2 linked regions of the Rhinolophus ferrumequinum genome follow. The protein of the gene in region 1 binds, or shares a complex with, the protein of each later gene. Links are inferred from orthologs where the notes say so. Each region holds a gene or a part of one and is shown in the gene's direction. Other genes may lie near its edges.

Region 1 (11,048 bases):
GCCACACCTCGCCCCGCCTGTCTGCTCCTTCCAGTTGCCTTCCGACAGGTGGTAAACAAGGCAGGCCTGGTGCCCGAGCGGCGGCGGCGGCGGCGGCGGCGGCGGCGGCGGCGGCGGCGGCGGGTATGGACCCAGCGACCCCGGCTGGGCTCGTGGCCCGCTACCCGCACCCACACCCGCGCCGCAGGGCCGCGCACCGGCTTCGGGGGCTCTCAGGGGTCTCCGGAGATGTGCCGGAGAGGTCTGCCCGGGGTCACTGGGGACACCTGGGCACTCACGGTCTCTGGTGAATTGCGGGGGCTTAGGCGGGGGCCTCTAGGGATAAGTGGAGGGGCAGTTGGGGCTACGTGGGCCACCAAGGTTGCCTAGGGTATCTGGAGGGGGAGTCGAGGGTCTCAGGGCCACAGGGGGTCAGACCGTGTTCTCTTGGGACATCTGGGGGAATCGGGGTCCCTCTCGATATTGCGGGGTTAAGAGTTTGGAATAGGAGGTTATGAGGGGGCAGTCGGAGACGTCCAGAGATAGTCACAAGAGTGTTCGGAGTGTCCAGGAATACTGCGGTCAAAGAGCTGTCTCTAGGGATATCGTGGGGGCCGGCGGGGGTCCACGCGCGTACCCGCGATGGTTGGGGGTCGCGGGAGATGACAGGGACAGTCGGCGACCCCTGGGACTATGGAGGGAGTGGTCGGGGCTCTGGGAGTTCTAGGGGCATTCTAGTCTTCGGACGTCGGGGAGTGTGGGGGTTCGCCGAGGCTCGGGGTGGGTGTTGACCGGTTCTTTTCCCCCCTCCCAGGCCGCCGCCCTCCCCAGCGGGCGAGCCCCAGAGCCTGGCGGCTCCTGGCGCGGCTGGATGCGCGACCCCTGGCGGCCAGAGCTGCGGCGGACGTGGCGGTACTGGTACGCAAGGCGGGCGCCACATTGCGCCTGCTCCCCAAGGACGGTGAGTGTCGGGGGCGGGGCCTCCCCCGGGGGCGGGGTTGGAGTACAGCTGAGTTCTGAGGTGGCAGGTGTGAGTTAGGGGAGCGGGGCTCGGAGGGAGACTCGGGGGGCGGGGCCTTGGGGTTATGCTAGCTTATTCCTCTAGGAGGTGACCCTGGGAGGGTTATTGCAGTACCGTAGGTGAGTGTTGGAAGATTAGATGAGGGTTCGAGGATGGATGGTTATCCCCAGCGAGGTCAGCGAGGCTTAGAATGGCATTTCTGAGGAGGCGGGGCCTGGAGCGTGTTGGTGGCCGCCACTTAGCTAAGGGGTGGGACTGGAATGGTGTCTAGAGGGTGGGCCCTATAAATGCATTGTGGGCGGGGCTCGAAATGTCGGGAATGGCTGAGGTGTGTAGGCTAATTAGAGGGTGGCGCCTGGAATGTTCAGGAGTCGAATCCTGGAGAGTGCGCCCTCCCGGATGGGCCTAGGGTGTTATTTGAGGGGCAGGGTCTGCGTGTTTAGAGGGAAGTAGGAAGGTCTGGAGGATGATTCAAGTAGCCGGTCCCAGGATTATTATTTAAGAAGGCGGGATAAAGACAGTTATTTCTGTGGGCAAAGCCTTGAAAGGACACTGCCTAGGTAGTTAAATGGTGGTCAAAGCCCGACGTAAGTTCAAAGAGATGAAAGCTAGATCGTTAAATTAGGGGGCGGGACCTACGTGGCTTCTATGGAGATTCACTAAACAGGTTTCATAGCCTCTGCCATCCCCCAGCAGGTAGCATGTTGGACTGTAAAGACAGTAATGTCAAAAATAAAAAAGACAGTAATGTCACGGAAAATCTCCTGTCATGGAAGGCCCCCTTGCTTCCCACTCGGAGTTCCCAGCATGGCAAATACAGTAAGTTGTGAAATACCTTGGGTTTTTTGAGGAGCTTAAAAACTCCATGAGCTGGAGACTTGCTTAAGGAACCTTGGGGAGGGAGAGGATAGCTTAATAGGATGGGAGCTGCAGGAGAGCAATGGACAGGGTCAGCCTGAGAATCTAGCACAAGTCAATGTTGGATGTCTCTCCATTTATTTAGGTCTTCTGTAATTTCTTTCAACAATGTTTTGTAGTTTTCACAGTACATTTGTTACACTTCTTTTGTTAAATTTATTTCTAGGTATTTTATTATTTTAAGGCTTTTGTAAATGGAATTATTTTCTTAATTTCATTTTTATTTTGCTTATAGAAATACAATTGATTTTTGTATACTGATCAATCCTGTAACCTTGCCAAACTTGCTTATTAGTTCTGATAGCTTTTTAGTGGATTCCTAGAATTTTCTATAGAATGTCATCTGCAATAGAGATGGTTTTACTTCTTCCTTTCCTATTTGGATACCTTTAATTTCTTTTTTCTTGTCTATCTTTCCTGATTAGAACTTCAAGGACAATATTAAATAGAAGTAGCAAGAGCAGCATTGTTGTTTTGTTTCTGATCTTGGATAGAAACTATTCAAACTTTCACATTAAGAATGATTTTAGCTGTCTACTGAACCCATTGCTTCTGATAGTAAATCAGCTTATAATGTTACTGGGGTTACCTTGTATGTAAAGAGTGATTTTTCTCATTGGTTACCAGACCGAAATCCGTGTGCCTGATGCTTGGACAAAACTCAAAACATCATAGAGTTTGGAGTAAGGAAAGGTTTATTGATTGAGAAGGCGCCCAAATGAGAAGATGGAAAACCTCGTGGTGCTTCAATGCCATCTTGCTCGCTGGACCAGGCCAATGGTTTTTAAGGGGCAAGGGGGAACAGGTATGTGGAAGTTCTGATGGGGCAAGTTTTAATTGGAGGACCTTGGATCTTGATCATTGATGGTAAAGGGGCATCAACACCGGATCTTCCTGGACAATGGGCCCTTGGCTTCTGAAAGTGTTCCGGTGTTCAAGTTCCGGTTATGTCCTGGTTCTTTGATTCCATGAGTTGGGGGACAAGACTTTGGTTCCAGGTGCAGCTGGAGGCTAAAGTTCTCTCCTCTGCACATGCCCTGACTGCACGACTTGCAGTCTTGGTCTGTAGTCTCTGAAAAGCAACTCAGTATCTCCTTGAACAGGATAGGACCATTTTGAGCTTGTTCTGCAATTACATTTGTGCTTGCAATGTTTTCTCTTTGGATTTTGACATTTTGACTATGATATGTCTGGGTATTAATCTCTTTGCATTTATCCTATTTGGAGTTCATTAAGCTTCTTGAACATGTGGATTAAAAGTTCATTAACCAAATTTAGAATGTTTTTAGCTATTATTTCTTAGAATAATTTTTCTGCTCCTCTCTCTGTCTCCACTTCTTTTTTTTTCACTTATTTATTTTTTTTATTGGGGAAGGGGAACAGGACTTTATTGGGGAACAGTGTGTACTTCCAGGACTTTCTTTTTTTCCAAGTCAGGTTGTTGTCCTTTCAATCTTAGTTGTGGAGGGTGTCATTCAGCTTCAAGTTATTGTCCTTTTAGTCTTAGTTGTGGAGGGCGCAGCTCAGCTCCAGGTCCAGTTGCTGTTGCTAGTTGCAGGGGGCGCAGCCCACCATCCCTTGCGGGAGTCGAGGGATTGAACTGGCAACCTTGTGGTCGAGAGCCCACTGGCCCATGTGGGAATCGAACCGGCAGCCTTCGGAGTTAGGAGCATGGAGCTCTAACCGCCTGAGCCACCGGGCTGGCCCTGTATCCACTTCTTCTGATACTCCCATTGCACATATGTCAGTGAACCTAATGGTGTCCCATATTTCTCTGATGCTGTGTTCGTTTTTCTTGATTCCTTTTACTGTCTGTTCTTCAGATTGCATAATCTGTATTGATCTCTCTTCTAGTTCACTGATTATTTTTTTCTGCCAGTTCAAATCTACTATTGGCCCTTCTGGTGAAATATTTTCATTTTGGTTATTGTACTTTTCAACTCTGGGATTTCCATTTGGTCATTTTTTTTTTGGTAATTTTATTTCTTTATTGACATTTTCTATTTGATGAAATACTGTTACATACCGTGTTTCCCCGAAAATAAGACCTAGCTGGACAATCAGCTCTCGTGCGTCTTTTGGAGCAAGAATTAACATAAGACCTGGTCTTATTTTACTATAATATAAGACCCGGTATAATATAATACAATATAATATAACGTAATGTAATATAATATAATATAATATAATATAATATAATACCGGGTCTTATATTAATTTTTGCTCCAAAAGGCTCTTTAGAGCTGATTGTCCGGCTAGCTCATATTTTGGGGAAACACAGTATCATACCTTCCCTTAAGTCTTTATACATGATTTCTTTTACTTCTTTGAACAAATGTATAATAACCACTTTGAAATCTTTATCTGCTAGGTCCAGCATTTGGGCCCTCTAACAGGCAGTTTCTGTTTCCTTTTCCCCACCCCACCCCACATATGGGTCACATCTTTTTGTTTCTTTGCATGTCACATAATTCGTTGTTGAAAACTGGACATTTTATATAACATTGTAGCAACTCTAGGTACTGATCTGCCCATTTTTGTTGTTGTTTGCTTGTTTGTTTAGTGACTTGATTATACTAATTTAGTCAAATCTATTTCTGCCTCACGAACCTCTTCAGAGGGTTCAGCCTTAGGCATGAGCACAGACACACTGAAATGACCTTACTTTTATCCAGGCTCTCTTTGTTTCTTTCCCTGATCTCCTAGTTTAATTTCTGGTTGGTATGCCTATATTGATACCATACCCAGCTGTTAATCTAAACTAATTTTTGACAATGCCGTAGGGCATAATTTGTTCCATAGTTTTATCCAATTAAAGTCAGGCCTTTTGTATGGGGTAGGTAAGCTTTGAGGGTAGTCTTTGCAGCTTGCTCTGAAGTAACCCCTTAGATGGGCTCTCCTTAGCTGTTTCTTTCCTGTTTTGCTTGTTGCTATCATGGAGATACCTGCCTCCTCTTAATTGCTCACAAAGCCCTTTTGGACAAAAAAGGGAGGGGCACTGTAATAAATCTAATCAAAAGTAACCTCATATGGTGATTGATCATAAATTCCTAATTGGGTAGGTTATGGTGGGTAGTCTCATCCCAGGCATATAACTTCTTTAGTAAAAGGTTTATCTTGGCCTTAAGCAAGCCCCATCCATTGTTTCTGTGCATCTAAGTTAATACACCTTTGAAATGTCTCTTTTTCAGACCCCTGAAGTGTAACCACCCTCAAGAGAGCACATAATCTTGTTAACTATCCTGTAGGTGGATGTGGATGAAGAATATACAGGAACTCTCTTACTATTTTTAATTCTAAAATTATTTCAAAATAAAAATTAAAAGATGTTTGTTGTTGTATATTTTGAAAACCACAGTGGCTTCTCTCTCGAGATTCCAGGGCCCTTTCCAGGATGCCTAGGGATTCTAAGCCTGGAAACATGGCCACGAGATTGATCAAATAATGGGCTTCCTGTTTTCAAGACAATCCTCTGACCCCACCATAAGATTCTACTTTCCAAACATTTCCATTTCATTTCATTATATTTATAGCTTCACATTTAAAGGCTCAAGTATATGATTTCCATCCAAGACATGTACTATAATTCTTTTTGCCTCATCCTCTTCTGTTGTTCATTTAAGAGGTCTTCAAGATCTTGCTACAATAATAGTATGATGAATCTCATATAAAAATCCTTTTGCACATCTTCAATGATTTCTTTGGGATGAATTTTTTGTATATTTGTAGTATTCTTTCTTGTGACTATTTGTTTAAGTAACAGTCTTCTACTTTACTAACTCTTAAGGTCATACACAAGGGGAACCTGTCTAATTAATCTTTTGAAGACTTAGGATCTGGGTCTCACAACATATTTAATGTTGATAGGAAATATTTTTTAAATATTTGTTTAAGTGTCATTGCTCCCCACTGCACTATGAGCCTCTAGAAAGGAGGAGGTGCATTTTTTATTAATAGTTGAATCCAGAGCTTGTCCAGTATTAAATCTGGTATCGGTAGGCACCATTTACATGGCTCTATTATTATTTTTTATTGTACACGACTGGCATTCACACTTTTTCTTAAATGATTTATCTTGCCTACACTTCTCACACCAGTAGGGCACAGTAACGTGTACACAGTACGCGATCAATAAATACTTGTCAAACGCCTACACGAAGTACTGAATATCTGCTAAGAATGAATCAGCCTCCTACCACGCCTACCTCCCTGAAGAACTACATTTCCCTATATGCTTAGCGCGACGCGCGCCTATGAAGTAAAAAGGGCGACAATTGCTTCCCACCGCCCGCTTTCACCTGTCGATGCCGCAGTATTTTGTGGGAAGGTAGGTAGTTCTAGCGCTAGTTGTCAGGTCCCGGGCAACCCGAGCCCAAACTAACCTTCCCAGCAAGCAGCTCACCAGCCTGGGAAGAGGGGCAAGATGGCGGATGCGGAAGAAGGTGTTTTGCGGCCGGCGGGAGCCTCCACTGCCCCGATTTCGTTCAGCTTTAGTCGCACGTCCGCCCGGAGACGGCTGGCGGGCCCAGGAGACGGCGCGGGTGCGGCCCCGGAGGAGAAGGATTTCTTGAAGACCGTGGAAGGGAGGGAGTTGCAGAGGTGAAGCGCCGAGTCGTTCATCCCTTGGAAGTCGGTGCGCTGGGTGCAAGTGGGAGGGTGCAATCTGAGTTGATTGTCTCGGTGACAGTGACCTGGAAAGCCTGAATACCGCCAGAGGAAATTCGTGGAGGCGAGAAGGCGGGAGTTTGTAGGACAGGTGGAGAAATTGAGCCTGATGGCCGTGGGGATTGACAAGAGAGGATGGATTCCTGAGAGGGAGTGTCTTTAGGATTTAGGAACCCTGAGATGTGTGCGTTCTGAGAGAAGGAAAAGAGGAGAGAATTACAGGACCCCTAATGTCTCAACTGATGCGGTGGGGCTTCTCTGATACGGGGAAACGGGATGGAGCGACAGATTCAGGTTGGAGGATGCCTTCGTCAGCTTAATCCGGAAAGGAGAGTCTGAGGGAGGGATTTCCAGAAAAAAATCAACCAGCCAAGGAGGCAGGTGTGGAGCCTGGAGCTGGGGAGAGAATACAGGCTGAATATAGTGATTTGTGGGTCATTGTGGAAGCCATCGACTGAGGACTGATTCCCCAAAGGCACAATTAGGAGTTGGGGGTGGAGGAGAGAATCCAAAGAAAGTACCATGAGAGACCTAACAGGAGAGCCAGACAGAACCGAGGGCGCTGTCCATGGGACTTGGGGTGAGCTTGGCTCTTGTGTTTTCTCTGAATGAAGGGGTGTGGCTCAACCCACTGACCATACTACTCTCCCAACTTCACCCTTCTGTGTTCACATTAGTGTAAAGCCCTCAGAAGCCCCCAAGGAACTCGTCATCCCCTTGATCCAGTATGGCCATCGCAGGCAGCCACCAACCCAGGCCCCGGGGCCATCCACAGATATTGAGGCCATGGGGGATGGGGTGCTGTCCCAGGCTGTGAAGGAGCTCATTGAGGGTGAGTGATCCCCCATTTGCCTTGCCCCAGTAAAGGAAGAACAGGAGGAAAATGGAAGGGAAGGGTGGAACCTCATTGCTCCCATTCTTCCTTAGAATCCAAGAAGTCTCTGGAGGAGAGCGAGAATGCAGGTGTTGACCCCACGCTCGCTATCCCCATGATCCAGAAAGGATGCACTCCCAACGGGGAAGGCACAGACAGTGAACCCCAGGCTGAGACAGTGAGCTGGCCCCTCGCCCCCCTCCTCTCCCAGCCTCTCTTTTCCCTGTCTGACAGGCTTGCCTCCCTGCACACAGCAGGAGAAGTGTGTGTGTGTGTGTGTGTGTGTGTGTGTGTGTGTGTGTGTGATGATGCATACTACTTACCCGTCCTTCCATCCTTTGGAGTGTTTGAGGAACACCAAGGGGACTGATGTGACCGAAGTGGAATGAGGGAGAGGGAGGGGTCGTAGATGAGCTCATCAGTGGGAAGGCTGAACTAGGCAGGGCCTTGTGGGCTGTGGTGAGGACGTGGATTTTAGTCTGAATGAGATGAGAGTGAGGAGAGGGCTCTGAGCAGAGAAAGGACACGACTTATGTTTTGACAGGATTTCTCTGGCTGCTGTGAACAGAACAGACTAAGTAAGCAGAGGTGGAAGCAAGGTGACCAGTAGTGATGGAGACTGAAACCAGAGTGGTAGGAGTGAGGCCTGGAAGGACAGGTAGGGTTTAGTGAGAAAAGGGAGAGCAGGGTGAGTACTCCTAATGGCAGCAATGACCCAGACCATGGCATGATGGCAGGAAATCAATGTGGTGCGTGTCCGACAGTGAGGCAATTTATGGTGTATCTGGAGCGAATATAAAGAACTGCGGGAGTGATGATGGGAGGTAACGGGTGTGTCTACATAAGTAACCAAGTCTGTCTTTCATACCCATGGACCCTCTTTTCACCTCTTCATTCACAGTTTGTTTTTTGCAGTGCTTTGGAGCCTGACTTTCCTACAGCCCCAGACCACCATCTCTTTTGACTGAACTTTCTTATTAGCCTTCAGATGTCCTCTGGTTTCTTTCATCATACAAAAGAAAAAAAGACTTTCACTCTCCATCCTCTTCCAGCTTTGGCCTCATTTCTCTCAGTTTTCCTCCTTGCTCAGCTTTCCACGTCTCAGTTGATCACATTTACAGCCATCCTTTCTCTTACTCAGCCTAAAAACCTTAGCACCCACCTTTGACGCACCTCTTTATTTCATACCACAATACAATCTTTCAGCAGAATCCTATCATATTCCTTTTCAAAATACCTCTAAAATCGGAACAGTTCTCCCCGTCGCCACTACCACTGTGCTGGTCTGAGCCACTAGCATCACTACTGGCATTGGACTGCTGCAGTTACTGTCTCAATGGTCTCCCTTGTGGCTCCTGCCCAGCTCTCCTAATTAATCTCTTACCACCCCTCTCTACATCCATATCTCTAGTTCAGTCAGGTTGACTTTCCTCATATTTTTCAGACATACCAGATCTTGTCCTGCTTCAGTACCTTTGCTCTTACTGTTCTCTCTGCTTGGAACACTTTTCCTTCTCACATCCTCATGGCTTTCTCTGTCATCTCCTCTGGTCTCTGCTCAAATATCAACTCAGTGACACTCCCTTCTCCATCCTTCTGCAGCTCCTTAACCTGCTTTATTTTCCTTCACATAATTTATTACCACCTGACATATCCTGTTTTATGTATTTTATTTATTGTGTGTCCCGCAACTGGAATGTAAGCTCCAGAAGAGCAGGTGTTTATGTCTGTTTTGTTTACTGCTTTCTCCCTAGCACCTAGAACAGTACCTGGCACAGAACAGGTGCTTTGTAAATATCTGTTGAAAGACTGAAGTGGAGGAGTAAAGTGAGGGATGGTGAGGGGAAATCAAAAGTTACCCTTGAACTGACTGGAAAAGAAGCAGTGAGGATCTCAGTGGGAAGTAGCAAATGCACTTCTGAGGACCCACCATGCGCAAAGCCTGACCACCCTTCCTCTGCCTGAACGTGTAGGTGCCGGAGGAGGCCAATTACGAGGCAGTCCCTGTGGAGGCCTACGGGCTGGCCATGCTGCGGGGCATGGGCTGGAAACCCGGCCAGGGCATCGGCCGTACCTTCAATCAGTGAGTTCTGGGGTAGGGGTAAGGGGACAGTAGACAAGGCAATGGACAAGACCCCTGCGGTTACTGCCCCCCCAGAACCATCCCGGCACGGGAAGGGCACATTACCATCCTAACCAATTCAGCAGTCTCTTCCACTACTGCTTCAAACTCCTATTTGCCCTTTGAAAATCCGTAACGGGATCCGATTTATGGCAAGATTGTTTCTCTGGGCATCAGCTTCCTCATCTGAAAAATGTGGATAGTAACAGCACGGACTTCCTAGGTCAGTGGAGAATTGAGTGAAATTATACATGTAAAGCACTCATAGTTGGCCCTGGACCCAAATAAGCATTGACTGGACATTTGCTGTCATCACGTGGACTTACAGTCCCTTCACAGTTCTGAACGCCAAAGAATTTTGAAAACCAAATATTTTTTTCATAAACCCTTTGGCAGCCAAATGTGATCTGGATTGACATTGAATTTTTTATAGTCTGTTTCTCCTGTTTGGTGTGAATATTTGTATGATTTCCCTTGTAGAAATATTAGTGTATTTGGTTACACTGTGGATACTACGTAATGGATGGTATATACAGCATGTTATTAGGTTGAACCAAATGAAATTGCCATTTCTATAGGCCAAAAACAGTCCCAACATAGGATGGGGAAATATATTATTGAACATATTGGTAGGATGGGATTTGGCCAGGGGTGCAGGGGAGGAGTGGGGCATTAAAGACCATTGCATCCCCCAACAAGCCCATATTCTGTGCTCCCTGCAGAGTGGTGAAGCCCCGTGTCAACTCACTGAGGCCCAAAGGGTTAGGGCTGGGCGCCAACCTGACTGAGGTCCAGGCCCTGGCCCCCTCGGGTCCCCACCGCCCGCTGAGGCCAGATGAGCAAGAGAAGGATAAGGAAGATCAGCCTCAAGGCCTGGTGCCTGGAGGAGCTGTGATGGTTCTTTCTGGCCCTCACCGAGGCCTCTATGGGAAGGTAAGAAACCAAGATGTGCCTGGAACCCAAGACAGGCAGCAGAGAAGATTGATGTGAGATTCAGAGGGAGGCAGAATTAGGTTTGGGGTAGAAAGGCTGGATGGAAGTCTTTGTCTTTTAGGCCTGCCTGGCTTGTTGCCTCATTCGGTAACTCAGAACCACTTTCAGGGCCTTTCTGAGCCTCAGTTTCCAACTGAAAGGAAAGAAGGTCATACCACGAGTCCCTGAGGATTAAATGCTTAAAATATGTCCAAGTCCCACCGTCTGGTAGGGGAGACACGGGGATCTGGCCTCGTCCCCGACCCCAGGGGTTACAGTCTGCTTAGGGAGATTGACCAGGCCCAGGTTCAGCCCTCCGGGGTCACAGTTTTCTGGGGGAGGCACAGGGGTCGGGCACATTGGAGGGAAGGGTGAATAGCTTGGTCCTAGGAATGTAGGTCGAATTCACTCAGCTTCTTCCTCCACCATAGGTGGAAGGCCTCGATCCTGACAATGTCCGGGCCATGGTTCGTCTGGCCGTGGGGGGCCGCATGGTG
Region 2 (10,137 bases), on another chromosome or scaffold:
GCTGTATCTGGAATAGTGGTTAGCAAGCATCAGAATCACCTGGAGACCTTGCTAGAACGGATTATTGGGCCCCAACCCGTTTCTGATTCAATAGACCTGGGGTGGGCCCAATAATCTCTGTTCCTAAAAGTTGCCAGGTGATGATGATGCTGGTCTGGAACCCAACCTATAAGAACCTTTGGAGCAGAGAGAGAGCCTGGAGTTTCAGAAACCTGGCCCCGCCTTCCCTTCAGCTCAGGTGAAGAAAAGTATACAAGGCTCCAAATCACCGGCTGCCGTGGGAATGAAGTTCCACTTTGCCCATATCCACCTCTCCGGAGGACGGTCAGCTTTTTTCCAAGGGGAAACAAATTCTCTCGCCTGGAGAGCCAGGCTGAGGTGTCGTGGTGATTCAGAGTTGGGAGCAGGGTCCCCTCCAGAGCCAGATGGATGGAGAATCTGGGTAATGGACCCTCACCCACCCCCAAGCCCCACAAGAGTCAGCTGCTTGTACTCCTTGGCAGCACATGTGGACAAGTATTTCAAGTCGTCTGGAGGAAAAGGAACCAAATGCTTGGCCCGTGTGGCCGGGAGGACAGGTAGGAGAGCACCTCCACCTGGGCCTGTGCGAGGATTACCTTCAGCTGCTGATTCGTCCGCTTTAGGAACTGAATATCCTCGTTGTGCTTCTTCTCCTCCACTTGTCTCCTCTCACTCTCCCGCTTCTCGGTGGCCTCACATTTTGCTTTCTGCTCATTCACTTGCCTCTCCAAATCTCTCTTTTCCATTTCTAATTCTGCAATCTAAAGACAGAACCCCCAGTCGTCCTGGGATGTCGCCAAGTGGATGGGGTGTCTTGAGTGCCCGGGCGGAGGGGACCTGGAACACGGCTGTCCAACCCAAGACATTGCCAGGGTCTGTACTGCCACCCAGTGGGAGGTCAGTGACTGGCACGGCTCGTCCAAGAGGAGACAACGGGCCCTTCTCAGGGCAATGGCCAGGCTGGCCCTTACACTCTGCACCAAGGGGTGCTCACTGAGGTGATGGGAGTGCACCCTAGGGGGTCAGAATGACAACCACATGGCCTAAGACAGACAGAAGAGTTCCAGAGGGCGGTAAACCCACTCACTTTCCTCTCCATGTCTGACTTCCCCTGCTCGGCCTGCAGCGCCTTCCTCATGCCGAACGCCACGCTGCTCTCATACAAGGTCTGGTATGCAGCGATGGTCATGCGGATCTCATCGCGGACTCGCAGCAGCAGCAGGCCTCTCTCCACACAGTTGATGGTGACCTCACGGATCAGCTCATCTTCCAATGCACGCACACACAGGGAGGTCAGAGAAGGCAGGCGGGAGGGGAAATGCACCAGGTCTACTGCAAGCCACCCTTCCTACTGGGACGAGTGCTTAGGGTGTGTCCTCCTCACTTGAAGACACATCTGGGGAGGGGCCTTCAAGTGGCCCCAGGAGCCGTGCCGTGCAGCCAGTGCTCTGAACTTGGCACTTGGGAGTACAGGCAGTCGGCAAGCCCAGGGCAGAGGGAGACAGGAGCCCCAGGTTTGTTTGCAGCCGTGAGGCTCCTCTCTTCCATCTTCAGCCAAGAACAGGGTACTATTCATAGAAATCTGACTTTTCAATTTGAAGATGGTGGCTGCTTTAAAGCAGCCGAAAAATCCAATGTGCCTCCCTGGCTGGACTGGTTTAGGGCTGGAAACAGCTTGTCCACCCATCTCCTCCATAATTGCTGGGCTGGAGGGCAAACCATCATCATACTCAGGCAGCAGGGTGGCACAGACACGTGCAAACTGGACGCAGTTTGCATGTCAGAGTCCACATGGGCCAGTGAGACTGGGCTGGGGGACAGCCATGTCACACCAGCACTTGGGGAGGGAGATCGTAAATCCCTGTGTCGGTCAGTTAACAAATTACCCTGAAATATTTTTCTGGACCAAAGGCTGAATGTTGATGGATGGATATAAATATAGAACGTAAAACTTTCTGATGAAAAAAATTAATACATACTTATTATAGAAATCTTTGAAAAAACAAAGACTTAAAATGGAAGTTCTCATTTACTCCAAACATCTGCTAAGAGGTGAGGCACCAGGTTGTCAGGAACCAGGTTGACTGGCAAGTGGGTAGGAGAGGCGGGGCTGGGAGGGGGAAGAGGGTGTATTTAGCAGTTCCTGGGTGGGGCAGGTAGAAAGACAGATTTTCATCCTTGCTTTGTCGTATGGGGGAGCTTCAGCTCGGGGATCCTCAGGGCATGGGGCTGTGCTGGAGGGGAAGGGAAGGAGACAGCAGAATGTAGTGTACCCTCCCCCAGTCCTCAGGCCACTCACCAAAACACTGCGAGTAAAGCTCCCTGCGGACAGGGCATATGCCAGTCTCCCTGGCCTGCCGCTGTTGCAGCTTCAGGTCCAGCTGCTCCTGGAGATGTACGACATCCATCCTGGTGCTGGGGGTGCTGGACACCTGCTGGATCCATAGCTGCGTGTCTTCTACCCACTCCCTGTGGCACAGACACAGCCAGGCTGAGCGAAACCCATTGACCAGAGACGGTCCTCAGGACACGAGTGAGATGGCCGTTTGAGCTCTCTGCCTGAGCAGGAGTGAAGGGCAACTCTGTCCCCCTTTCTTCCTTGGGGAATGTGTGGCTCCAAAGCCATGTCCATTAAGCTGCCTCCACAGGTCCCCTACCTTGGGGCTGGGCAATCTCTACTCTCCCACTGTGAAATCATCACCCATGTTCCAGATCTTACCCTCCTAATGTGTAGAGGGCAAATTGGTGGTTGTTGCTTAATCTGAACAGAAGGCCCAGAAGGAACTGCCCCCTGATTTGTGGGGTGGGAGACACGGGGCACCATAAACCTTGTGCCAGTCAGAAAGAGGCCAACGTGTGGATTGGGGAATGGAGAAATTCTTGAAGGCATGTAGCCCTCCCTATACTAAACCTCGTGTCAAGAGGCATGGCCCCATTCTGGAATCCTAAGGGGGGAGCCCAAGGGCAGAACCACCATGGGGGAGAGGACTTTCATGCATTGCTTGCTGGGAAGTAATTTACTGAGAAATCACCCCCTCCCCCTTCTTTGACTTCTATCTCTGAGGAGATTGCAGTCTCTTTTCATCATAGACTTAAAAATCAAATAAACAAAAAAACAAAAAAAACTGTCAACTTATTACGTAAAAATAGTAGAAAAACATGTCAGATAGTGATAAATGAGGCTACAGAAAAAAGAAGCCGAGTAAAGAAGAAGAGAGAAGGTACTCTTTTATAAGAATTCTCAAGGAAGGCCTCCGTGAGGAAACGACATTTGAGCAAGACCTGAGTGAAGAAAGAAGGCAACCAGGTGGCTATCATGTGGAGAGTATCTTTGGCAGTGAGAAGAACAGCAGTTGTCAAGGCCCTGAGGTGGAAGAGTGAAGTGTTTCAGAGACACTGAGCCGAGGCCCCTGTGGCATTAGCACCGTGAACAGAAGGAGAATAAGAGATAAGATCATGGGTACATCAGGGGCCAGATCACGCGAGGTCTTCCAGGTCACGGTAAGGACTCTGGGTCTCAGTCTGAGTGAGATGGGGAGCCATTAAGGAGTTTCTGGCAGACGCCTGGCGTGATCTGCCTTATGATTTCGGGACTGTGCTAAGAATAGATTGTAGGGGCAGAGTGGAGCCGGGTTTTCAGATAGGAAGGCCTCTGCAGTAGTGCAGGTGACTAACAATGACTAGGAACAAGACGGTAGAAGTAGAAGTGGTGAAGTGGTCAGATTTGTGGAGCCAAAGGAACTTGATGAAGGATAGGACATTGTAATGTAAAAGACCGAAAGGAATGAGAGGTGACCTGAGCCTCTAGTAGAAAGGAGAAGACTGGGAATGAGCAGGTTGGGGGAAGAAGAAATTGTGATTACGTCTGGACACGTTGAGTTTGAGATATCTACTAGCATCTTCATGGAGGTAATGAGGTTGTAGTAGAATATATGGAGTTTAGGGGAGAGGGCAGAGCTGGAAATACACATTTGGGAGCCATCAGCATATAGATGGTAGTTAAAGCCACGAGCCTGAGTGAGAGCACTCAGGAAGTGAGGGCAGATTGAGATCTCCCCACCACCCTTCCAAGATCCAGCCACCTGCAAGCACCAGGAGCTCTAGGATGGTGGGAGGAAATTCCAACCAGGAACAGAGACAGGGTTCCTCTTTCCACAGTCCCATGTTCAGGGGTGGAAAAGCCTGGGCCTTCTCCCAGCCACTGTTCCTCCTTTTTTACCTTGGAGGCAGGATGGCATTCAAGATTTCTTCTGCTTGCTTTGTAGGATCTGGGATACAGGAAGTTGTGGGGAGCTTGGTCTTTGGTGGTTGTGGGACTGGACCTGAGGGTCCAGGTTGCTGGGGGCTGATTTTCAGTGGCCGAGCCTGAGAAGAAGGAACAAGTTAAGACAGGAGGTGATTCAGACACTGAGCTCCGCAGGTCCTGGCACTCTGGATTGCTCCAGGTCTCCAGCACACCCCTCCCCTATTCCCAGCTCATTTTCCCATTTGTCTTCTCAACAGAAGTTATGTCTCAGAGCTGCAGGAGGCGGTGTAGAGTCTCTGGTCTCACCCCAACCCAATGCTTGTATCTCCTTGAACAGATGTTTCTGGCACGGTGCTCGGGCCTCTGCTTTCACACCTCTAGTAATGGGGCAATCACTACCAGATCTATTCTTGGACCCGGCTACCATGAAAAAGAGTGAACCCCATTCATCTCCCTGTGACTTCCCCATTCTAAATCTGCCCTCTGGAGTCGCCCAACATTTGGGCTTCTTGTACCTCTCTCCCTCACCCATCCTTCACCCATCCCAGTTCCCTTCACTCCCAGTCGTTTCAGCCTCTGTCCCTCTGGACTCCCTATCCTGTAGGCTAGAATCTGTCATTTCCCCATCAGAGCTACCAGGCTCCCGCGTCCCCTGAGATTCGTCCTTACTTTGGGGCTCCGTTTCTCCGTGTTCCGGCTCACCAGCACCGGGGTGTCATACTTGAGCAGAGAGTCCGCGGGAGGGATCATGGCGGCAACTGGAGTAGTAAGCAGCCCAGCAGCGGCCCCTCCAGGCTGGGCCTTGTTTACCGTCACCATGGAAACCTCCTCTCCCAGTCTCACGGCCTGGGCGGGGCTTCGAAGTTGGGCGGGGCCAGCAGAGCTCCATTTTTTTTCTGCATGGCTTTCACGAAAAGTTCTGCGGTTAGCTCGTCAGGCCTCCTGCTCACCGAATCGCTCCGGCACTCTTGGGAGAAAGAAAAACAGGGGTTTCGGTTCCTGCGCCACGTGTAGCTCTCAACCTGAATGAGGTGGCAGGTCTCCTTTGCTGATCCCCAATTTTCTTACCTGCAAAGGTGGAAGTCATCTGACTTCTCAGTGAAGGATTGGGGAAGGTTCCCAGAAGACATCTGTAGTTCTCAGGTTTTAAAAAGTATTTGTTTCTAATTAAATGGAGAAATGACAACGTAACAGAAAGTTCAAAACTAGAGGGGAAAATACTAATGATTTGCCCACGGGCTACCATATATGATTTCATTTCCTTCGTATTTCCAAACGTAAATGTAAGCACAGTTTGCGCACAATTTTGTATCCCGCTTCTGTCGTTTAACAAGTCAGGGTTTTTTCCTTTTGTCATATAGAGTTTGTAAATAGCATTGTGAGTGGCAATATAACATCCATCAATTGGCTAAACAACTCCCTACTGATGGGCATTTAGGTGGTCACCGTGTTTAATAATTACTAATGATGCGACGACAAATAGCCTCGAGACTAGCTTTTTCCGAGAGGTTGGCTTTGGAAACAAAACTCCCGCCACCCGAGTCGCCTCACTACAGCCCCGCCCACAAGAGCGTCCTTGTCACGTGTTTGGCTTCTCCCTCGCGAGGGTTTCTGGGAGAGCGTACACCGCAGAAGCGGAAGTCCAGGCGTCTAGCCCGTCATTTCCTTTAGCGAGAGCAGTGCAACGGACGTAGTTTTTCCTACGCTCCTCGGATATCTCAGCATGAAGGACGTGAAGAGCGAGCGAGAGAGGGGGAACCGGCGAAAGCACCGGGACGAGGACATAGTGGCGGCGACGGCGGCGGTGGTGGTGAAGCAGGAGCGCCTCAGCCCGGAGGCCGCTCCTCCCGTCCACCGCCGTCCGGACTCCTCCGGCGGTAGTGCGTCCCCACCGGCCGGCGAGCCGGGACGTCCTGGTCACCGCGGGAACCGAGCCCGAGCACGTAGTCGGTAAGTGGGAAGCAGCCTGGAGTGGACCTTAGGTCGGGCTCGTTGAGAAAGGGGGACCGAGCTAGCGTCAGAAACACACCTTGAACGCTGAGCGCAGCGGCTTGCACTTAATTCTAAGGTGTGAAAGAGATCGGGGTGGTGCTTGTGTTACTGTTTACCTGTCAACCTGTGTTGTAGCTGGGTGTTAAGCACCCAATGGACGGGATCCTGCCCTTTCATCTCTGTGTGCTCAGCGCTTCGCCGAGTATGAGCCAGCGGATCGTTTAAGTTGAAATGAAAGGTTTTCCCCACCTGCCTGCACATGGAGTGCGAGTGTTGTCTTTACATTTAACCTGGCCCCAAAGATTTCCGTATGGAAGGCCTAGGAGATCTACCTGATAGAACTTCTGGGGGGAAAAAGTCTCTTGCTAGACTCCTTCATTTATTCATTCAACATAGTTTTACTGAGTACCTATTATGTGCCCTAGGTACTGGGGCCACAAGGGTGAACAAGGTAGATGGTCATTACCTTCTCAGAATTAACATGCTCTAGCCCTGAGACAAAATAACTAGCAAATGAAGAAAATAGTTTTAGTTAGTAACAAGTATTAGGGATAGATTAAAACAGTAATGCGATAGAGATTGGAGGGAAGTGGGAGAAGGCAGCTCTGAAAAGGTGCCATTTGCGCTGAGACCTGAGTAAGACTAATCCGTAATCCAGCCTTGGGAAGATCCAGGCAGAGAAGACAATAGGTGCCAAGAACCTGAAGTGGAATTAATTGTGATTGTTCTAGGAATAGAAAAAAATCCAGTGTAGCGATCAAGGAGAGTGGTTGGAATGAGGTGGGAGAGAGAGGAGACAGAGCCAGAGGACTTGTTGATGGATTGAATGTGATTGCAGGGACGGGTGTGGGAAGCTGTTGGTGGTGAGAAAAAAAAGAATCAAGGTTGACTTCTTGTTTTTGGCTTGAGTAGCGGGGTGGATGGTGATGCTATTTACTGAGATGGCAAAAAGGAAAGGTTTTTGAAGGGTTGGTAATCAAGAGTTATGTTACATATATACCGTGTTTCCCCGAAAATAAGATCTAGCCGGACAATCAACTCTAATGCATCTTTTGGAGCAAAAATTAATATAAGACCAGTCTTATTTTACTATAATATGAGACCAGGTATTATAATATAGTATAATTAATATAATAATATAATGTAATACCGGGTATATTAATTTTTGCTCCAAAAGACGCATTAGAGCTGATTGTCCAGCTAGGTCTTATTTTCAGGGAAACATGGTAAGTGAGAGGGTTTGGTAAGCGGTTATGTCTGTGGGTCTGGAACTTGGGAGAGGTTAGGGCTAGGAAAGTGAAGCTCCTAACTCCTACAGTGTGAAAAGCAGAGACCTTCAAAAATGTGGTATTTGTGTAGTAGTAAGCCTGATATCGGAAGGTAATTTATATGGGGAAGGGACATTGAGATAAAATCCTGTGTGTCTCATTCTCTTAAGATCCCCAGCCAAAAAGAAAAAGTCCTCAGGGAGAAGAAGCAAGTCTCCTCGAAGTAACAGAAGCCGAAGTCCTCACCACTCAACAGTCAAAGTGAAGCTGGTAAGTGGATTGAGCTATTGTGATACTGGGTCCAAATCTGGAGCCTCTTTCCGTCATAGCTGGAGTGTTGTGTGTGTGTTCACCTGTACCTGCAATGGGCTTTTCTCAAAACTGGGTGGGGGTTTTTCTGCTTGTCTTGTTAAACTTTTTATTTTGAAATAATTATTAATTCACATACAGCTGTAAAAGTAATAATGGCGTATAGTCTGTATCCTGTTTCTCCCAATGAGTATTGTACAGAATTAGAGTGCAATATCACAACCAGAATATTGACATCAACGCTGTCAAGATATAAAACATTTTCATCACCACCACAGGATCCTTTGTTGTCCTTTTACAGTCACACCCACTACTTTCCCACTTATACCCCTCAATTGGCAACTTCTGTTGTCCATTTCTATAATTTTGTCACATCAGATCTTACATATTTCTTAAGTGTATTCCTGGGTATGAAATGACTTTTGTTACTGTTGAAATAATTTAAAATTACTATTACATTTTCATTTTTGGCATAAGAGAAAGCTAGCTTGTTTTTCTTTACGTATTTATCTTGTACATGACTCTCTGTTAGCTCTCTCTTCTGTATATGCTCCCCTATAAGTTTGCCTGCAGGTGCTCTTGTTTCTAGGGCACTGAACATGGGCTTGCACTGTTAGAGCTATAGCTGGGCTTCAGCATGGGGTACACAGTGTGACCTTGGACAGGTACATCACCACCACTGATAACCTTATTTCTGGGCGACATTTTGCTCTTGAAGGCCAAAGCCCAAATCACATTCCTTTTGAATGCGGCTTGTTCATAGGCTGTGAACTGCCTTTGATTTCCTGAATGGGTTTGAATTTCAGGAACGGGAGGATCATCCTCCCCGGAGAGGACGGGAGGATCGGCAGCACCGGGAAGCATCAGGACAGGAACACAGGCGAGCCAGGAACAGTGACCGAGACAGGCACAGGGGCCATTCCCACCAGAGGCTAACGTCTAACGAGAGGCCTGGGAGTGGGCAGGCTCAGGGCCGGGACCGAAACCTTCAGAACCTACAGCCTCAGGAAGCAGAGCGGGAGTTTTATAACGCCCGACGGCGGGAGCATCGCCAGAAGAATGAAGTTACTGCCAGCAGTAATGAGTCTCAGGAGCTGGTTCCTCGAACTGGTGGCAACAACAAAGATAAAGAGGTGCCCGCGAAGGAAAAGCCAAGCTTTGAACTTTCTGGGGCACTTCTTGAGGACACCAACACCTTCCGGGGTGTAGTCATTAAATATAGCGAGCCCCCAGAAGCACGGATCCCCAAAAAACGGTGGCGTCTCTACCCCTTTAAAAACGATGAGGTGCTTCCAGTCATGTACATCCATCGTCAGAGCGCCTACCTGCTGGGGCGCCACCGCCGCATCGCCGACATTCCAATCGATCACCCCTCGTGTTCAAAGCAGCACGCGGTCTTTCAGTATCGGTGGGTATACATTTGTGGGAAGAAACTCAAGGGTGAGCAGAAGCTAACGCCTCAGGTAGTTAGGGGTACTAAGTTTTGTGTACAGTATGTGCAGAAGAACCCGTACCCCTCACCACTGACACTAGCCTTAGGGAGTGTTAGCCTAACTGCCCTTTGAATGATCACTGATATTTGTACAGAGCATTGAACGTGGTGTCAAGAATCCAGAGTTTGAATCCTGACACGGTCACATACCAGGTGTTTGACCTGTAGCAAGCCACTTTCTGGGCCTCAGTTTCTGCCTACCTCACGGGACTATTATGAGGGTTAAACGGAAACATAATTGAGAATGCCTGGTTGGCCACATCTGTTTCTTAGCTGCATATATGTTGGCCACATCTGTTTCCTGACAGTTTGCATAGTACATCTGCTATTGGCTGATGGCTCCCAACAATCCTGTGAGGAGGACAGGACAGGTATTAATGTCCCTATTTGCCAGGTGAGAAGACAAGCTCAGGAAAGCCAAGTGATTTGCCTAGTAAATGTTCACCATAGTAGAACTCTGACTTAAATCTAGCTCCCTTAACTCTGAAGTCCAAATCTACTGCTTTATTCCCGTAGTGATAGAAGATCAGATATGTTGAAATATAGGTGAAAGAAGTGTTATATTGATTATAAACAACACACAAAAATGTATTAATATTTTCTGAAGTATGGAAAGAGGCGTTGGATTCTGCATTTTAAGTTTTTGATACACCATGAATTTCCCGCCCTCCAGCAATCAGTTCTCACCTTTTCTACTAAGTATTATTTAACTTGCCTCCAATTTCTAAGTCCAAGGCCATGCCTTCCCCTTTGTTTCTTAGAGTTTGAATTTGAACTATGTTGAAGCCAGGTTATCCAGCAAAAAGCTG

The links.
Region 2: GPKOW (region 1) and SNIP1 share a complex: the UniProt entries of both Homo sapiens proteins name them as parts of the minor spliceosome. The link is inferred for Rhinolophus ferrumequinum from reciprocal best matches to the Homo sapiens genes GPKOW and SNIP1.

Annotation. Positions count from the first base shown.
Region 1 is NC_046284.1:85,589,551-85,600,598, forward strand, and holds the start of GPKOW (G-patch domain and KOW motifs-containing protein), read left to right. Parts: upstream 1-6,153; 5' UTR 6,154-6,222; coding exon of another isoform or gene 6,223-6,245; 5' UTR 6,246-6,341; coding exon 6,342-6,517; intron 6,518-7,260; coding exon 7,261-7,415; intron 7,416-7,510; coding exon 7,511-7,635; intron 7,636-9,430; coding exon 9,431-9,540; intron 9,541-10,301; coding exon 10,302-10,512; intron 10,513-10,982; coding exon 10,983-11,048. Other genes in the region: uncharacterized protein LOC117016622, read left to right, coding at 1-286, 794-940, 1,694-1,819, 5,110-5,117. UniProt on the Homo sapiens protein: RNA-binding protein involved in pre-mRNA splicing. As a component of the minor spliceosome, involved in the splicing of U12-type introns in pre-mRNAs.
Region 2 is NC_046292.1:26,221,758-26,231,894, reverse strand, and holds the start of SNIP1 (smad nuclear-interacting protein 1), read left to right. Parts: upstream 1-5,906; 5' UTR 5,907-5,990; coding exon 5,991-6,217; intron 6,218-7,697; coding exon 7,698-7,797; intron 7,798-8,642; coding exon 8,643-9,244; intron 9,245-10,137. Other genes in the region: DNALI1 (axonemal dynein light intermediate polypeptide 1), read right to left, coding at 618-782, 1,109-1,287, 2,321-2,490, 4,241-4,386, 4,937-5,017. UniProt on the Homo sapiens protein: Required for pre-mRNA splicing as component of the spliceosome. As a component of the minor spliceosome, involved in the splicing of U12-type introns in pre-mRNAs. Down-regulates NF-kappa-B signaling by competing with RELA for CREBBP/EP300 binding.